Linked DNA regions of Astyanax mexicanus. The main gene of each other region encodes a partner of the protein of the gene in region 2 in a complex. Links are inferred from orthologs where the notes say so. Each region holds a gene or a part of one and is shown on either strand. Other genes may lie near its edges.

Evidence for each region.
Region 1: the proteins of atp6v1ab (region 2) and atp6v1d are in contact, whole or in part, in a cryo-EM structure (PDB 9B8P), measured with the Rattus norvegicus proteins. The link is inferred for Astyanax mexicanus from reciprocal best matches to the Homo sapiens genes ATP6V1A and ATP6V1D. Residues at the interface, in NP_001101788.1 of Rattus norvegicus: Ala366, Met368, Pro369, Ala370, Asp371, Ser372, Asp416, Ser418, Asp436, Lys438, Glu491, Gln494, Leu495, Val496; in NP_955418.1 of Rattus norvegicus: Lys4, Asp5, Arg6, Arg167, Ala171, Val175, Ile176, Arg179, Tyr186, Glu190, Arg194, Glu197, Tyr200, Arg201, Lys204, Ile205, Lys208.

Annotation. Positions count from the first base shown.
Region 1 is NC_064408.1:85,781,061-85,790,898, forward strand, and holds the start of atp6v1d (V-type proton ATPase subunit D), read right to left. Parts: upstream 4,302-9,838; 5' UTR 4,130-4,301; coding exon 4,089-4,129; intron 1,991-4,088; coding exon 1,873-1,990; intron 1,733-1,872; coding exon 1,653-1,732; intron 1,559-1,652; coding exon 1,491-1,558; intron 1,308-1,490; coding exon 1,263-1,307; intron 1,161-1,262; coding exon 1,057-1,160; intron 89-1,056; coding exon 22-88; intron 1-21. Other genes in the region: eif2s1b (eukaryotic translation initiation factor 2 subunit 1b), read left to right, coding at 9,424-9,664, 9,759-9,838. UniProt on the Homo sapiens protein: Subunit of the V1 complex of vacuolar(H+)-ATPase (V-ATPase), a multisubunit enzyme composed of a peripheral complex (V1) that hydrolyzes ATP and a membrane integral complex (V0) that translocates protons.
Region 2 is NC_064408.1:95,983,410-95,993,724, forward strand, and holds the start of atp6v1ab (V-type proton ATPase catalytic subunit A), read right to left. Parts: upstream 4,158-10,315; 5' UTR 4,031-4,157; intron 1,775-4,030; 5' UTR 1,760-1,774; coding exon 1,678-1,759; intron 1,169-1,677; coding exon 1,040-1,168; intron 835-1,039; coding exon 620-834; intron 1-619. Other genes in the region: naa50 (N-alpha-acetyltransferase 50), read left to right, coding at 6,538-6,545, 8,783-8,919, 9,297-9,416, 9,889-9,955. UniProt on the Homo sapiens protein: Catalytic subunit of the V1 complex of vacuolar(H+)-ATPase (V-ATPase), a multisubunit enzyme composed of a peripheral complex (V1) that hydrolyzes ATP and a membrane integral complex (V0) that translocates protons.

The DNA.
Region 1 (9,838 bases), about 10 Mb from region 2:
CCTGGTGATCTTTCTGCTTACCATGCTCAATAGCATTCACACGGCGGTTGGTGATCTTGATGGCCTCATCCAAGGTGACAAAAGAGGTCTGCAAAAAAATAAATAAATAAATAAATAAATATTGGGGGAAAAGTCCAATAGTAATGTCTGCTGCCCCTGCTAGCAGTTTTACTCTGAGCAACAGACAAAATAAGTTACTACATATACCTTTTTTAATCTCCATGGTACAGTCATATATAAATCAGTCAAAGTGATCACTGAAGACATGGAGACTTGTCAGAGGATGATATTCAAAGCCAACAAAAGGCTACTAAAGCCAAACGCATGCTGCTGTTTATGACCAAGATGGAACTGGGAATTTCCCAACCCCTCCAGCTCATAATTACCACTTGGAATGTTCAACTCAGATACAGCCAAGTTATATAATATTGCTAAATGTTAAATAAAAGTATTTTTAAATAGACATAACAAAGAGCTATCAAGTACTGTGCGCTGCTTAATTCATAATGTCTATTACTGATATGATATAGTTAATAATAAAGTAATATTTAATTTCATTTATTGCATTAAACTGCCTACAACTAAATAAACAATTATTTTAATCAAATGTATTCCTCTTAACAGCTGTTCTTTCACACACACCAGTCACACAAGCCCCAGCTTAGTGTGACAATTTTTACATGACACCACAGACCACACACCCTATTCAATTTATCTTTTTTTTATTGCAGGAGATTAAAAGTTTCCAGATTCAGTAAAACCAACTGTGAGCTGATTACTGAAAACATTACTGCCTGAGTTCTCCTTTCACCAACATTATGAAGAGTTTAAATATTTGATCCTATTCTGCGTTGAGTTAAATTTTTCTGTGGTAAATAATGTGTATACAAAAAGTCATAGTGTGAAACTTTTACACAAAGCCTTCATAGAAACCTATAAACCAAACACTAAATCAACCTGGGACACAATGTTGATGGACAGTCACCCTCAACAGAAATTCTCCATTTCAGCTTCATGTATTAATGATATTTAATAGATAACTCCAGCACCCCCTACCTGCAGAGAGGCCAATTCCACCAGCAGCTCTACAGCTTTAGCGTAGTTTCTCTTCAGCCTGGACAGCTGCTCTCCACCTCTGGCCAGACCAGTCAGTTCATAACCTATAGAGTGTGTGAAATGTGAACATTTGATGTTTGTGATGTGGTTCAATTATTGTATGCACTGTAATTTGTGTGAGACCATATAATTTTATCCAAACTTACTGTCTCCTCCCTCCTGGTAGTGCTCAAACACAGGCAGAGTCACACCTGGGGGGCAAATGAAGCAAAATACAGTTAGGGCCGTTATTCATGCATAAAAAAATAATACAAACATTTTAAAATCTGCTGAAAAACATTTAAGTTAACAAAACTAAAACTAGTTGAGGTTTGAACTTAATAATTCCTTGGCAATTTCTCAGTGAAGCAAATTTAAATGAAGTTTATTCAGACCTGCAACATTGTCCTTTTTGGCTCGAACCTTGACCTGGGCCTTGTTCACATTCTGGATAACCGTAGTGCTGAGACAAACACACATCCATGAGCTCAGGAGTCAAACTTACTTTCACAAACACATTATCATTAACATTAAATATAAGCGCAAGCTGCTCATACCTAAAGTCACCAGCAGCAAATTTGGCTTCAGCTAAAGAAAAAGCAGCTTCTCTCATCACTTCTCCCATCAGCGTCTTGGTCTAAGAAACAAAGGGAAACAGGGTAAGCAATGAAAAAATATTTACAGCTATTTACATTTTTTCTCACATTATTACATGTTTACAGCATGACATACTCATTAATATAAGCATTTAAAATATTTATTTTCTCATGTTTCTACCTCAATGATCTTCCTGAGAATCTGCCGGAAACGCATGGAAAGGGCGTCAGCTTTTTTCTTCAGCAGGTTCCTCCCTGTCTGAGCTCCTTTCAGTCGAGCCTTCATAATGGTCTGAGCCCTAAAACCATCGACACAAACAGTCATTAATTATACAATTAAAAATACAGTGTGCAACAACAGTCATTTGCTTTTGTGTTCATGAGTTTAAGAGGAACTTGCTTAGTCAGACTTGTTCACAGTGGTGGTGAATGGAACAAAATGCTTAAAGAGTTTTATGTGTTTAAAAGCTCCCCCTCAGAAATTATTATGAATTCGTCATTTGATGTCTAGACACTGTTTATCAACAGTTAAAGAGTTTATTGGACTGTGTTGCAGTAAATATACACTTGGTGATCTCAAATTAATCCCTACAAAATACTCCATTTCCATCTTTAACATTACATATACAGCTAAGAGGACGTGCACAGAATCACTGGTGGTTGCAGACAGTAAATAAAAGGACTATATTTTCTGTATTCACATGGTTACCCCCCAGTTCCTAACACCACCACGAAATCAGCATCAATGCACTTCTCTACAATAAACAATTTTAAACCAAAACAAACTCTTTTTCACCCTGTTTATTTTATATATAAATTGACATTTAAGCTACAATGTAGTAAATACAAATAAAAAAAAACTAATATTAATGAGAATGTTCTGCACATGGTACTGGACTTGTAGTATCAGGTCCACTACAACCCTACTGACTAGACTTGTCACAATAATTACATTATTAACTTATCTTACAGTAAATGGACATGACCTCAATAATATTTTATAATAGTGATATTGTATATTGTGCTTATTTGTATGTTTGTTCACAGTAAACAGTATATTTGCCAGTTTCCATGCTTCAATGACCAATGCTTCAAAAACAGTGACACCACATACACACTGTGGACTGTGTTAGGTAACTAAAAAAGTAAATACACTGCCAGGCCAAAAAAAATGATGTGGGGTTGATGCTGCAGTTGGTCAGGTTTAGGTTTAGCAACAGTTTGTGCTGAAAGAACGAGGTCAGCTGACTACCTGAATATACTGAATATAGACCAGCTTATTCCATCAATCGTTTTTTTCTTCCCTGATGACACGGCCATATTCCAAGATGACAATGTCAGGATTCACTGTTCTGGAATTGTGAAAGTGTGATTCAGGAATCATGAGCTCATTATTTTTACACATGGATTCCAGAGTCCAGATCTGAACCTCATTGAGAATCTTTGGGATGTGCTGGAGAAGACTTTGAGCAGCGGTCAGACGATACCATCATCAATACATCAATAAAAGATCTTGAAGAAAAATTAATGCAACACTGGATGGAAATAAATCTTGTGACATTGCAGAAGATTAATGCAAAAATGCCACAGTGAACGTGTGCCGCAATCAAAGCTAAAGGCGGTCCAACAAAATATTAGTGTGTGTGACCTTTTTTTTTTTTTTTACCCCAAACTATGACTACTTACAATTGTATTGTCTTCAAAAGAATATGAATGCTTCGTTATGCTATTCTAGTATCATTATGTCAGTGTCATTTAAATGGTTTTAAAATGACAATAATATTGGTTATCACAATAATGACAACTACAACTACCCTTTAAGCTCTTCAGCTTCAAACCCTTTCCCCCCTGTGGATGTTCCTCTATGGCCAGAGCCTCACATCACATGATCCTGAATAATACACTTCTGTTTTTCTGTGGGGAGTTATTTCAAACACTGTTCTTATAGTCTAAATTCTGAAAATACAATATTTTAACACACCCTTTAGAGGGACTGTATACACGTATTTAATCTGCACAAAAATATTTTTTATTTGCACAATTACCCTCAGAGAGTCTTATAATGACCTTGCTGGTGGTCCTTAGAATACCACTGTAGAATAAACACACTGCAGACTGGTCCTTTATTCTATTTATATGGCTAGTTGACTGCTACAGTGTAGTAAAATAATACAAAAATAATAATAATGTGTGTGTAACGTTAATCAATGGTCAGTTTTATATTTAGATCAACCCCAGCATTAATAACATTCAGCACAGTTATTATAGTTTAATTATTAGATATTAGAGTATATTGGAGTCTAAACAGTAAATTAAAGGTTATGTTATGTTGATTAATTCGTGTCCTGTAGTCTGTATCTCTAACAGCACAGCACAGCTCTCTCTCGCTTTACTCACATCCTCGAAGGGAAAATGTCGATCCGGTCTTTGCCCGACATCTCGTCGTTTTCCTCCTGATCCCGGCGGGTCTGTGTGTTTATAAAGCGGGGTTTTCTGCTCGACCTGTGGCCTGTTCTGTTCGCATGTAGGTTTTATTCGCAGGAACGCGGCGCTCGGCTTCACTGTTTCACTGAAAATCACATTACAGCTCACAGCGGGTCATGTGACTCACGACCAGCGGCCTTCAGCAAAACACTAAACACAACCTATGATCATTATCATTATTAAAACATAGCTTGGGTTTATTTTACGATTTAATGTAGCAGTAAGCTTTCTTATTAACACAGATTGATCGATTCATAATATATATATAATATATATTTAAAACAGTACAGTTTTACCTAAACTTTTATTTTGAAGTGTGTGTAACCGATAGCTGTAAGGGCAGAGGCGGCTTATGGAGGAACTGCACACTTCCTGTATATCGCCTCTGTTATTTGTCAGTGAACCACTGTAACCACCGCTAGAGGGAGCCCGCGAGTGAGTCCAAAATGAATAGAAGTGAATTGAGCTAAATTGCTAAAACCTTCAATTAAAAATAGTAAATAATATGAATGAAAAACAACTTATAGTGATGTTTAATTTGTCTAGGCTATTAACAATTTGGTACAGTCACCGGTTATAAACAATACAAAACATATAAAGTGTTCACTTATCATGTGTGTAGGTCACATTTCTTCATGACATTTTTTTGTGTTATTATTTTGTGAAGATATAATTATGCATGGATACATATGCATGTGACTGTGTTATTCATAGATACAGGTGATGCATATTATATATGTTTATGTATATGAGCATTTTATATACATCTTTATGCTATGTTTTGTGTACAGACTTCCCAAGTCTTCTGAAAGTGGCGGGAGTCTACCGCATATCAATAACGGCGTGAACACAAACGTGCACGCAGGCAACACAGTTTTTTTCCCCAATCAGGTGTGTAAAAGAGAGGGAGAAAGAGAGAAAGGCGCTGCCCTCCTTGGCATATTCATTAAGGGCATGCAAAACAGAGAAAGTTTTAGTGATATGGATCTACGTATATATTGCTTTAGGGGGCAGGATTAAAAGGGCCTATTGTTTAAACTTTAAACATGCAGTCAACCATTTAATTAAAATCAAAGTAATTAGTGCACTTGCTTCTTTTAAACATACTTATTAAATGTATCTTCCTTGTAGAAAATCAAATAAAGCTGCCTGAGATTGACCAATATATGTTTTATTAGATCCAGAGTTGAAAAAGGATAAAAAATTAAGTTTACTTTGGAAACAGTAGGATTAAAATGACTTGTTTCTTCTAATTTTGTCTTTCAAAGAAAATCTATAAATAAAACAAAAAAGTAACTAATGCAGGGTATTCTTTTAATTTATGAAAGTATAAAGATGCATTTTGCTATATGTATACCTGTCCATTTATCTACAGTACACTGGTTTTAGGCAGTTAATGCGCTAGCATTACTGTTACTGTCTTCTGACTGGTTGGTGGGCTGATGCTGGAGTTACAGTCAGAGTCAGAGACAGTTTTAAAAGGTTTATATCTACAGTTTTAAGTATTTGATATCCTTGTCTTCGTTTGAAAAATGTTAGATATTGTTTCAGTTTTCAGTATAACGGTGATTAAACATTTATAAACTATAACGTTAACTGTTAAATTGCTCCATATAAGCCCATTCATTTTGAACTCGCTCTGGAGCGCCCTCTGGTGGCCCGACAAACGCGGTGTTTTTTAATAGAAATTTCTTAATTGATTTTATTTATACTGACTGTTAATAGAACTAATGATTATACATTTACTGTAAAACCTAGCTAGCTAGCTGGGTCACGTTGCATTTATTTGTCAAATTTGTAGCGTTCCTCGTAAAAATATATATTTTTTTTCCTTCAGGTTATTTTATTACCGCTGGTACCTTAAAAACACCAATTTAATTGTGTTTCATTATTAACATTGTAAAAATATTGTTTATTTGCATGATGTGCAGGAAAAAAAAACTAAATAAAAATCACTGTCCTCTGCATGAAAGAGTATTGGAATAGATGATTTTAAGAATCGACCTCTGCTGATGCATTTTGTCTGTGTGTCAAAACATTGCGATAAATACAGTGTATAATAAAAATATCATATAATATTTTACACCTATAACTGTGTGATTCTATATACTTCAGGCAGTGGCATTCATACTGTTCAGAATTTTATATAAAGTGATATTAAGATTTGTTGTGATAGAGATATGGACGTTTTGTCCAGCATTTAATTTGTATTACTTTTATAGCAATTAGGTGTGAAATTGGCCAGTGGATATGTTGTCCATGCTGTAACTAGTAAGGATGTGGTGTATAAACCACATGAGGATCCTGTAATCTGATATTTGATGTAATATTTCAAATTGTGATTATTTTTATTATTATTTTATTAGTGTTTGTATGTAACTGTTTATTTTTATTTATTAATATAAAAACACAAATATTTAAAAAATGAAAACTTTTATTAAGGACTTTTATGTTGAAGTTACTTCGCGCGGCGCCATGATGTAACTCTCTCTCTGTGCTGTGGATCCATGGCGAACTCCTGATTTACGGAGCCTTTTCTCATCAAAATTTACAATTACCGCCCAGAAACAGACTCTAGACTAACCGCGCTCCCGGGGACGACTCGCTTCAGGTAACACCACTCTCTGGAACTCGCGGCGGGCCGGTTTTATTCAGTATTTATTTATCTAGAAGCAGAAATGTGTTATCTAGCCGAGCTATCTGCTGAACCGCATGGGCTCAATGAGACTGAGTGGTGCAGCTCAGCTCAGCCACTGATACAATAACAGATCTATGGGTATCATTAGATACCTATACATATCACCAGCTTCAGAGACAGAATACAGTACAGCTGGACTAACTAACCCATCTAACTAGACTCGACTGAACCGGTTCTGTAGTTTAACTCTGGTTTAATACTGAACAGCAGCTCCACCCTGTATGAGGGTTATTTAGTTAACTAGGCTCTATTGATTGTAATATCTTATTATTAGACCATTAAACCCAGTTTCACAGGATTATCATCTGAGGATTTGCCTGGATACTAACGCCAGGTTGTAGGTATTTATCCTGCTAGCTTGTGAATTAAGTGAGAAAGTATTTTCAGGTCTTGAAACTCAAAATGCAGTACCAATTCCAACGTCAAAATCATGTTTTTCCACATCATTCCTGATCTACTAGTCAGTGTAATTAGCACTAGTGAGACAATTATTCATTAAAGTTCACACTACATTATTAGTCAGTAATTTCCAGCCCATTTCTCCAATTCATTTATGATTAACCCATTATAGAACCCAGACCCATTTCTGAATATTGATACCAATCAGATAAATTCAGTAAGAAGCTCATTCTTGTTTAGTTTTCTTTTTTTATTATTATTACTGTGGGTGCATGACTGTAAATATTTTAAGATTAAAACCATGATGTAACTTAAATGACACAACAACAATTTCATTACTTGTATGGTTAAAGTGGAGCTGTAAAAGCAAAAACACACATTTTAAATAAGAGAGGTTTATCTCCAGCAGCAGCACTTCTGCGTTCTGTAAATAAGTCCAGATAAACAAACACACTTCCACACACTGTCCTGTGATGCTTTCAGAATGATCAGTATATGCCAGAGGTTCTTCATGAGATAAAATGATTGAGAAAGTACTGTAAGGGACTTAACTCATCTTTTAAATGGTCTGTGACACACACATCACTATGGGCTTATTTGGGTTATCAGACTCGTAAACCCAGTTTCACAGGATAAACATCTGAAGATTTGCCTGGGACGTAAAGCCGTGTTTTTTTAGTAGTAATCCTGGTAACTTGTGAATTAAGTAAGAAATGATTTTAAAATCTTAAAACTCAAATGGGCTTGGGTTCCAAACCCAGTAGTAATTTCAGTGTCAAAATCATGTAAAATCCCACATCATTCCTGATCAACAGATCAGTGTAACAATTAGTATTACTAAGCCATTGCTAACCATGGGGCAATTAGCATAATTATTCAACTTCAATGTCAGTGTTCATAATGACATTGAAAGTGTATGTGAATAATGATTAACTTATATTATTGATTTTATTGTATTGTGATACATTCACTCATCATGTATGCTTTAATAAGCATAATAAAGGATGCTGTTGGTGCCTTAAAAACACACATTTAACTGTTTCATTGCAAGCATTGTAAAAAATGTTATTTGGATGATGTGCAGGAAAACTGAATAAATATCACTGTACTGTGCATGAAAGAGTATTTGAATAGATTTTTTTCAGAATCTACCACTGCGGATAAATTTTGTCTGTGTCAAAACATTGGGATAAATACAGTGCATCATTAAAAAAAGTCTTTAAATATCATATAAAACTGATATTTAGAGTTATTAAGATGGTTATTAAAGTTGTATTGTCCAGCACTCATATTACTATTGTAGCAATGAGGTATGTTATTGGCCAGTGAATATGTTGTTCATGCTCTAAAACAGGGATGGGCAACTTCCATGATGGAGAGGGCCACATTTTTTTCAGCATGACCATTGGAGGGCCACATGACCTCGCACTTCAAATAATTGAATATGAAAAACACTACAAATGATTTTCAATAAGAACAAATTTTATATGAACTTATATCTGTATGTTTACAGCACCAACATTTATCAACAACTATTTTCTGCATATTAATGCATTTTAATACGGCAAAAGACAAACCGTTTGCTTAAAAAAAGTGCAAAAAAGAAGTTTGCTTAAAAAACCGATTGCAAATACAGTAGTTCCTCTGTGTAAAATAAGTTCATTATAACAAGTCCTTCATAAGCAACAAGGACAAAACATTTGCTTATAAATGTGCAAAAGGCATTTGAACTCATTTATAACAAAGAACAAAAAAGATTTAAAAACTGATTGCAAATAGCTCATTCAATAATAGCAGAAAACTAGACCACAGAGGCCCAACATTTATTGAAGCTAATGAGAGAGCTGTGGTTTGGCCTGCTGGCTCACAATGGACTGGATGTCAATGTCAATTTTCGTGGTTGTTTGGCAGCGCCCTCTAGCGGTCAAAAGTAGAATTACGTTTTTTTTTTGTTTTTTTTTTTAAATTATGAAATTATGAAATTATTTTTGATCTATTCGCGGGCCGCACTGAGTGATGACGAGGGCCGTGTGCGGCCCCCGGGCCGCCAGTTGCCCATCCCTGCTCTAAAATATGGAAACAAAAAATTCCGTACGCTGACATTTGATGTTTTTCAGATTGTAATATGCTTTAAATTCTTTTCTCCCAGAAATGCCAGGACTCAGCTGTAGGTTCTACCAGCACCGGTTTCCGGAGGTGGAGGATGTAGTGATGGTAAATGTGCGCTCCATTGCGGAGATGGGTGCCTACGTCAGCTTGCTGGAGTATAACAATATAGAGGGCATGATCCTGCTGAGTGAGCTCTCGCGCAGACGTATTCGCTCCATCAACAAACTGATCCGCATCGGCCGCAATGAATGTGTTGTGGTGATCCGAGTGGACAAAGAGAAAGGTGGGTTTGCTCGTAAAGAGGTTTAAAGAGTGAAGCTTCAGTATAGTATCTTTTTAGAATTCTGTTTTTGATGGGTTTTATTCTCTCTGTCTAGGATATATTGACTTATCAAAGAGAAGAGTGTCTCCAGAGGAGGCAGTCAAGTGTGAAGATAAGTTTACCAAATCCAAGACT
Region 2 (10,315 bases):
TCTACCTGTGGGAAAAAGTTTGAGTACTTTGAGTTTAAGCAGTGCTTAAAAACATACTTCCAGTAATGTCTGCCTATGTTTTTCTTACTGTTGATATTTTTATTCACATGCTTCTTAGTCATAAGTTAAAACAGTGAATTGAGTAATACAAGTTAATCCTTTCAATTACTGAAGGCAGGAGAACCAACAAAAAAATCTTAAAGCCTTACTACTTTGTAATTAGACATTTTTAATTTTATTATTGTTTTGCTGTTCAAGCCTTTAAAAAAAATGAAGGTCATATCTACCGGCTGCAATAAGAAACTAATCTTTTTTTACATACTGATCCCATTTATGGCACGAGACATCAACTGGATAGATATAACGGCTGGATTATTTGACAAACAAGGGGACAGTGACGCTAAGCACCGAAAGTTATTTGAGAACAAACAGCGCACTCTTGTGGTGAATGTTCAGACTGCTAAACAGAAATTAGGAATTTATGATCATGGCAGGTTAATGAGGTGCTATATATCTCAAAAATGTCCTGATTATGTCAATTAACACACTATTTACTTCATGTTCTTCCCAAGATCCTTGCAGTTAAAGTCATTCTCACAATCTACATTCAGGCACATACTCGTAAACTCTTGGATGGAGAAAAATCCCATTTGAGGTCGCGGTTCAGAGCACCAATGTTCACTCCACGGGGGATGTAGATGCTCTTGGTCAGGTCATTGATGTCCTTCAGGGGACGCTGGATACCATCAAATATGGAGCCCATAATTCCTGGTCCCAGCTCGACAGAGAGGGGCTTCCCTGTACGCAGGACAGGGTCTCCAACAGACACACCAGCTGGAAAAGGCTTAGGAAATCTAACACAGTTTAAAGTATTACAGCTAGAATGTGTAAATGATCTATTATAGTGACTCAAATCTTCAGTGATAATCTTCAACTTTCTAAGCTAGAATACATATGTAATAGAGCACACTATACTATACAATACAGTTTACTATAAGGTTATAAGTGCAGTAGGTGCTGAATGGGTATAAAAGGATACAGGTTTCCTCATACACCTGAATAGTGGCCATGTCACCCTCTAAACGGATGATCTCTCCCACCAGCTCACTGTGGCCCACACGCACCAGCTCGTACATAGCTGCCCCAGCCATGCTGGAGGCCGTCACCACTGTGAGGGACACACACAGATACAGGTCACTTACATGTAGCAAATCATGTACTATGACCTATAGAGCAAAGCAGTACAACAACTTTAAAATGCACAAACTGCAAAATTCAGGAACAATTATGTCAATAATTTAAAACCATACTGGTTATACATAGATATAATTCTAATTTAATTACCAGAAATGTAACAAAATAAATAAAGAAAAGATCTTACTTAGTCATTTAGCTGACACTAAAAGTAAGATAAATAGTACTGAAAATGATTAGAATGTTAAAATGTGTTATTCAGAAATACAGTGATTAAATATGGCCCGGCTAAAAATTAAACTAAAAGGGCCAAAAATATTGCTATTACATTTTTGCATAACACATACAGGACACATCAATCCATATTTTTGCGACAGCAGCGCACACTTAATCAATCTGACTGACAAATAAAGCATTGAGTAAATTGGAAAAAAAAAAGAAAAAAACATTACTGTCATTCCACACTATAGACAGATTACTGACCAGGTCCGGACACTCCGTGCACATATCCAAACTGTCCCTCCCGCTCCTCATCTCGAATCTTGGGCAGCTTGGAGAAGTCCATCTTAGAAGTGTGTGTCTAAAATGCAGACAGAATGTGAAGGTGGGCACCATTAGTGAAATACAACAGATTACTGACAATTATAGAGGTATTAGATTACATCAGATTATAGCATAAGCAAAAATTAAAGCTTTTAATTGTCAGCTTTTAAACTGAGAATGTCCTCAAGCTTTATGCAAAAAGAAACAAAAATATTCCTGTGAAGCATTAGAGGGTTTCTGTTCTCCATTTGTTTGATTTCTCCTATTGTGGGTTAACTTGTGACTTTTAAAGCTGGATGGACAGTTACAGAAAGTCTAACTTTACACTAAATTCTTTCATCACAGAAGTAGACCTACCTAATTATTAATGATCAATAATCAAAGATGTCAGAGCATAATTTGTACTAAAAAGCACAAACTATTGAATATAGTAATTAAACTTGATAATGAGAGTTTATTTTATATATTTATTCATTTATTCATGCACACACACCTTAAGGCTTGTTCAATATTTAAGTAAAGTTTATTAATACAAAAATCCTCTTAGTTTATATGAACAGTTATATATGCACCAGATTGTGTGATATTTCTGGGGCAGTGATACAGAAATGTCACATGATGATTACCGTGACTGGCTGTAAAGAGGAAGGGGCTAAACAGACAGTTGAGTAATTCTGGAGAGTTTGCACTCATCCCCAAGATTAGCATTAATAGCTGTAGGGAAACAACCAAACCAAGCAGTTTTAGTTCTCAGTAGTTTTCTAATGTTTCATATAAAATACAATATATGAAAAAACAACCACTAAAACTACATGTGCAAATCGTTACAAAAAAACTAAAAGACCCTCTCATGCAACAAATTCTAATGTAAGATGTCTCATTTTTTTCAATATATGCGCTTTTAAATTTAATCAAGCCAACAAAAATCAGGCTAATTTGTCATTAAGAATGGGTGATATATGTTAAGTGCAACATGATAAATTAGACCATGACAGATTTTGCTAAGCTATATTTGGAGTGTGATATGTACGTCTAAATGAATAAATTAATCGTAAAAAGACAGATTAAGATCAAGCCTTTAAAGAACAACAAACAAATGGTAACAACTGCAAAAACTGCTGATTTGACATCCAATTATGACACTCATTTAATTCAATATATTTTTAACCAATGGCTTGTTTTCAGCTTTTTTTAATGTGCTGTTACTGCTTTGTGGTACTTGTTCAGAAAAAAAAAACACAGAAAGTTAAATATCATCATGCATTTCTTAAAGTATCTTAATATTTCTGGCATTACCACCCACCATCCTACCATGTGATCAACCAACACATGATGTAGGGTATGGACGGATTCTCTCCTGGTAAAGCAACATGATCTCCAGACAGAAACCTGATCGTGTGTGTATTGGTTACCTCGTTATAAGCTTTGCCAGTCAAAACATAAAGAAACAGCATATTTGAGCAGTGCTATAGCTGGCAGAATGCTGCAGTCTAGTATTTGGGCCCAAGCACAGTGACTGCAAGTCTCAGCACTGTCCAGTCACATGACCATGACAGGCTACTGATAACATTTACTGCGATTCTATCTTACAAATAAATGACATCAATACAGCGCAATATAGATACTTTTTAAACATGTCAATTTTAAATATGTTACAATAATTAATAACATGTAAAACTGGTGTGATGGAATTTCCTCCTGCTTTACATTTAACGAGATGACTTAAACGTAGTGTAACGTTAAGCGCATTACCTACTACATATGTGTATAATAAAAATGATAAATTAATTAATATTAATCAGAGACTGCATCGTGTATGTATACAATCCTGGGGCGAGCTTGTAGTTTCCCAAGGTTATAATGGGGGAGGTGCAAAAAAATCGCCAGTTTCATATTCGACCACCGCCGTTCCACCTTAAATACTGCATTGGTTCCATCAACATGCTTCAGGATCGTGTACTTATCTAATGCCCTATTTAAGGTGGAACGGAAATTTCCAACAAGAACCAGGCGATTAAGCAGCTAATTTCAGTCACACACAAATTTCAGCCATTTTAACCAACTACCATTCCGTGTTAAATCTGTAAATAGAGAAATTAAGCCAATTCCCGCAAAAGCTACCATAGTTCATTTAAAGCATTTTGACCGCAGTTAACGTCAATGGAATACGACCGAGAAAAAGCACTGAACGTAGCAGGCTGGCTACCTGCAGCCGAGGCCGCCTTAAACCGACCGAATCAAAACACAGCGAGGAATAAAATAACCCTGACATCAAACTACAATCACTAAATACCTGAAATGATGAGGAGAAGCAGCGATCTGTCGAGTCCGTTCAGCTGAAAATAATGATGAGAAATCAGCAACCAGGAAGGGTCAGCTGACTTCATTCACTCGATGGTTGTAGTGCGCGGTGCTCAGAGATGGAGCTTCACTGCGCCACCTACTGCTATACGGTCAGTATAACGACGTGTTTGAGGCTAAATGCAAAAATGGATAATTGTATGTAAAACTCATTATTTGTCTTTTTTTAATGTTGTGCAGAAATAAGCCTTCATCCATTTTTCCCTTTTTAGATTTTTTTCACCTTTGCCCCTCACAATCGGAATTTCTTTACTATCAGGTTTGTGTTACAAGATACAAGAAATGACAAATCTGAAAGATCAAAAGAAGATTAACCGTTTCATTTTTCTTAAAATTAACTAGCTCTTTACCAGCATAGGGTATGTTTTTTCTGGATGATCTTGAGCTGGATTTTATTTTTTATTTTTTGCAGTAATAAAGAAGCATGTAAAACTATACAAATTTACTGTAATGTTTATACTAATTTTAAAAGATTAAGTTCAATAACGTTTACATTTTGTAAAATAGGTATCAGGTAACTTACAACATTGCACACTTAAATTAATTGTTGCTAAATATCGAATTTGTTAGATAGCGTTATTATAAGTATTTTCTTCGGAAACCTATGCTAAGGTATTTTAAGTAACTTATTTTAAATATATAAAAAAAAGAACTAACTTTTCTATCCGACCCGCATTTCACCCAGAGGTGTCACTGAGCCATAGAGATGGCTCTGATTTCACCTTACCTGTCAGGGACTTTTATTTTGTATACTGAAAGCTTCCATAATGTACGCCACGTCCTGTGCTTTATGTCTCCCCGCCGCTTGTGCAGGATGTGAAGTTCGATTCAGTGAATCGAACCGGTTCTTTGAGCTGAACGTTTTGTTTCAATGCATCAAACGTCCGAGTCAGCGATTCATTGATTTATGAGTCATGCCAACTTTATTCTAATGTCCTCCACACAGCAGAAACCAAGTTATACCAACTTTTATTACTGTTAGATCTGGTCTCTCTTGATAACTAAACTATTTAAAGTAAGTTTTGTCACGTGTGTTAAGATATGTATGTTTTTGTACGTTTAACAGAAGAAAACATAAAACAGCTCAGTAAAAAGAACGGTGTCAGGCTATTTTTTAATAAACTCCTTATGACATGAAATAAAAGATATTGACAGACACAACCGAGTATAATAGTGCATCTCTAAAAAATTAAATGTAATTGAAAAGTTACTCCATTTCAGTAATTTAGTTCAAAATGTGAAATTCGTATATAGATGTAATACACACAGAATGATCTATTTTATGCATTTATTTTTTTATTGTCAATAATTATGGCTTACAGCCAATGAAAACCCAAAAATCACTGTCTCAGAAAAATACAATATTATATAAGACCAATTGGTACTTTTGGCAGTGTGGGCAGTGTGCCAAGTCCTACTAGAAAATGAAATCCGCATCTCCATAAATGTTGTCAGCAAAGGGAAGCATGAAGTGCTGTAAGATTTTCTGGGAAAACACTACCTTTGACTTTGGACTTGATATAACACAGTGGACCAACACCAGCAGATGACATGTCCCTCCAAACCATCACTGACCCTCAGTAAATTTTGCATTTCATTTGGAAATCAAGGAACTAGAGTCTGGAGGAAGAGTGGAGAGACACACAGTCAAGCTGCTTGAGGTCTTGTGTAACGTTTCCACAATCAGTGATGGTTTGGAGAGTCATGTCATCTGCTGGTGTTGAAGTCGGTGCAGTGTTTTCATGCCCTGCTGACAACTTTTATGGAGATGTGGATTTTACACTGCCAAAAGTACCATTTGGTCTAATATAATATTCTAATTTTCTGAGACAATGATGTTTGGGTTTTTATTGGATGTAAAATAGAGCACACTGTGTGTTTTACATCTATATAATATGAGTTTCACATTTTAAACTGAATGACACTAGTTTATTTTCTCAGTGAATATCAGAACATTTCCCATTTTTAAATGTCTTCCCTCATTCAGCTATTTGAAGCCATAGAGAAAGATAGAAACAGAAATAATGACTGACAAATCAGAAAACTTATCTTTAAACAATTAATGTGAGAGGATGTCAGACTTCATTCTGTTAAAAAGTCTTTTCAGAGTCTTTTCAGTCGTGTAGTGTATGGACAGCAGTTAATAACGAAAATAGTCATCAGTTGCAGAAAACTCGAATAGCTGCCAAACACGAGATTCAGCGGGGTACTTTTGAACCGATTCGACTGATCTTCTCAAAAGAACCGACTCAGAAGAAGCGACTCGTTCACGAGTGACAGCAGCGGCGGAGTTGAGCGCTGCTAGTCCTTTAGCCAACATACATGTGGAGGGTCCGGAGAGAGGGTAGCTCTGCACAAACTTAGGACTAATCTTCTCCGGATCGGAAATATACTGTCGACGTCCTTCGCAGCGTTCACCTTATACGTGTTCTCTCCAACATGAAAGGGTGAGTAAAAACTCTGCGTTTGTTCATGGAGACTAAAAGTTTTTTCCCTCCTCCTCCTCTCTTCTTTCAGCAGGGGGAGGGGGAGCTGCTGGCCGCGCTAGCCGCCTCTCGGCGCGGGGTGAGAGGGGAGCGTTCACCACCGAGGACCCTGAATATTTTACTGAGAAAACCTTACAGACTGAAACGTGCTCTGTACAAATAAAGTCCACCCGCTGTTACACGAACCACGGTCCCAGCAGATACACCAAACCGCCGCAAAACCCCGTGTGATGTCTATTAGCTTAGCCTGAGCTGAAGTCTGAAAATGTTGAGTCAGACTATGAAAAGCTATATCGCTGGCTATCATGCTAAGCTAAGCTAAGCTAGATAGCTAGCTAATTCGCTAGCTAACCATGCCTGCTCCACAGTAGCTAATAAATGTGTCTGCCCATTCTTAGCTGACAAAGTAACCAACTACTTCAGCTAGCCAACTTTATAAGTATTATGTGTATTTATATTTCACTAACCGAACGTTTAGTTAACTAGCAAGCATTGAGATAAACCATTTGTGTTCTAAACAGTTTGTGAATAAAGGTGGTAGCTAGGTAACGTAGCTTAGCTTAGCTAGATATGTTGGCTAGCTAAATTCCCCACCTGCTTGCAGCAAGTTAGTTAACTAGCTAACTAAGCTAACGAGCATTGCTGTAGGTTATATTAGTTATTCAGTTCACTAGTACATGACAGACAGTGACGGGAGTGATTTTTTAAGTCAACAATCAGTCGACAAAGTTAAATACACAGGTAAACGTTGTTTAGCTATCATAGCTAGCTAAGCTAGCTACGTTACTTCCAGAACCAGAGTCCAGTCTAGTGATGTAGTTAGTTTACCTACTGATTAGTGTCACCTGTGAACTCTTAAGCCTGATACCTCAGTATTTTTTTTTTATTTATTCAGCATTTAACGTCACCTCAGTTCCCACAGAATGTCCCTTTCACTGCTCAATCCATGTCTATCTGGTGCTGATGCTCTTTCTGTCAGTCAGTGTCCCTTTAGTCACTTTGTGCTGAGCTAGTGAAATATTATGTATGTATACAAGTTGAGTTCAAGTCAAGTAGTTTTATTGTCAATACTGCGTGTGTACAGGAAATTACATTACTCTCCTTCCCAAAAAGATTACAAGAAAGTACAGAAAATAAGATTATAAATATTAAAGAATGGGAGACACTATATGTACAATACAACAAGGACACAGATAGACATACGTGAGACAAAAGACACAAGACAATAGTGCAATAGTGAGGGGGGTGTGATTAAAGAGGGAATGACAGTACAAGTATAAACAGAACCCGAGTTGAGTTAAGCTAATTCCTTTTTTTTGTGTTAAAATTAGTGTCACATTTTTGTGTAGTGTTAAAATTACATATTTTATATTAATGTCTTAGTCTATAAGACTAAAAGAGGAGGATTTAAATACATGCAAAATACAATGGCACTTTTGGCACTGTAAGAGGTGACATGCAAATAAGTCTGGGCGATATTGCAAAAAATACATACAAAATACATAGTATGCATTATAATGTTTTTTGCAAGTTGGTTTGCCAAAACAATGGATACTTTTTATAGCTTGCCTCTTAAGAAATAAACACTGTTTTGTTATTCTGCCTTTAAGACTTATATGCATATAACCTGTGATTTAACTGGTTGTGCTTCATTTAAAAAACAGTCCATGCTGCTGCCAGAAGAGAGGAAGTATGTGTGTACAGTATATGCATGTGTATTTAGTTTTTTTGACACAAAAACACCAAATTGAGAAGTTAAGCTGTTTGCATACAACATGCTTAAAAAAAATTGTGAACTTTTTGCTGTCCTCTCTTACCTTTTCCTACCACTGGCTGTGGGAGTGCAGGCCTAAAAACATGACATGCAGCTGTTATGTCGTCATGGTGCATTAGCATGCAGTCGCCCTATAAATACCTCTGTAGTTCTGGTGTCAAGTGCAGGCGACGCAAACTTGTGGTGAACACTACGACTGATAGTCGTGACAGTGTGCTGGGACAGTGGGGTCAAATCCTCGTAGACAGCTAATTGGGTTAGTTTGATTCCATTGAAATAAGCCTGAGTCTGTGAGAGGGCTCAGAATAACTTGAAATGAAGTCTTGCGGTTGTGCACAGTGGCATACTGCTTATTTAAAGTGTGTAGCGAAATGTATTCTAATAAGTAATGAACAACCAGTTGACCGTTCTGCTCTTGTTCCAGTAGCCGGATCGAGCTGGGGGACGTTACCCCCCACAACATTAAACAGCTGAAACGTCTGAACCAAGTAATCTTCCCTGTCAGCTACAACGACAAGTTCTACAAAGATGTGCTGGAAGTAGGAGAGCTTGCTAAGCTAGGTAAGACTGAGAGAACTCACTGTGTAGATGCAGGCTTATAACACAGACTTATTGCTCATCACTTGTTTGAACGTGTGTGTGAGAGAGAGATTGCGAAAGAAAAGCAAAGATGGATTGTGCAGAAAACTATTTATATTGTAACTACTGCTAGAACTAAAACAAGGTAATATAAAAAAAACTTTGTGTAAACGGCTAATATCCCATCAACAACTTGATACAATGCACTTAAGTATTTGCACATTATAAATGTTCTAATTCTTTCTTTATTGTGATTTATGCAGTTGTTTACTGTATTAAAACATTTTAATTAGAACATTTTCTGAGCACAGTTAATAATCGTAATTTTCATTATTCATGTTGGTTTCTTTATTTTTCAGCATACTTCAATGACATTGCTGTGGGGGCAGTGTGCTGTAGGGTGGATCACTCCCAAAACCAAAAGAGATTGTACATAATGACACTCGGCTGCCTAGCACCCTACCGCAGACTGGGCATAGGTAGGGCTATTTTGTTGAAAGCATGGTTTGAGAGCTATTCCATAGCATCTGTGTCAAATGTCAACCCATTTAAAATTATGTTAAAATAATTGATTTAACAAACATAACTTGCCAATAGAATAGGAGTTTTGGTGCAGATAAACACAAATCTAGGACACCATACCTAATTCCAGACATGGGCTGTAGGCATGAGGAGCCCCAAAGCGTTTTGAGAAACTGTGTTCTCCGGAGTGATGGTGCTCCATACAGCACTTTTGGGCTGAGTGGGTGAAGTGGGGTGATTATCAGTCAACATCCTGACGTTGGTAACGCTCCTGTTGCTGAGTTCAATCAAATTCTCACAAAATGCTCCAGAATCTAATAGAAAGTGTTCTCTGGAAAGCATACTTTTTTGGACAATGTATATTAATGTTTATATTGAACATGTTTCATGTTTGTTTCTTAATTTCAATTTTGTGGTGTTTGTTTAAAGGAACAAAGATGCTGAACCATGTGTTGAACATATGTGAGAAGGATGGCACTTTTGACAACATTTACCTGTAAGTTGAATGATGGAACATATGGAAACATAATGGCAATAAACACAACTATATTTAAGCAGCATATGCTTAGAACAGAACATGAAATTACAGGGTATCCTTTAATGCAAAAAGAATGATAATGGAAATGTACTCAGACATGCCAAATGTAACTTGACCATGAAGTGATTGGAATGCCCACACTGGTATAAGTTGAGGTGTTATCTTGTCAGTTATGTTGAATACTGTACACTGGCAAAGTGACGTAAATTATCCGGGTCATATATTTTTTATATAGTGATATGAAAGCTAGTCTTTTTCAATTTTCCTCATAATTTAATGCAGCATAATTCAGGTTTTCACCCTAAAGAAACTGAAGTT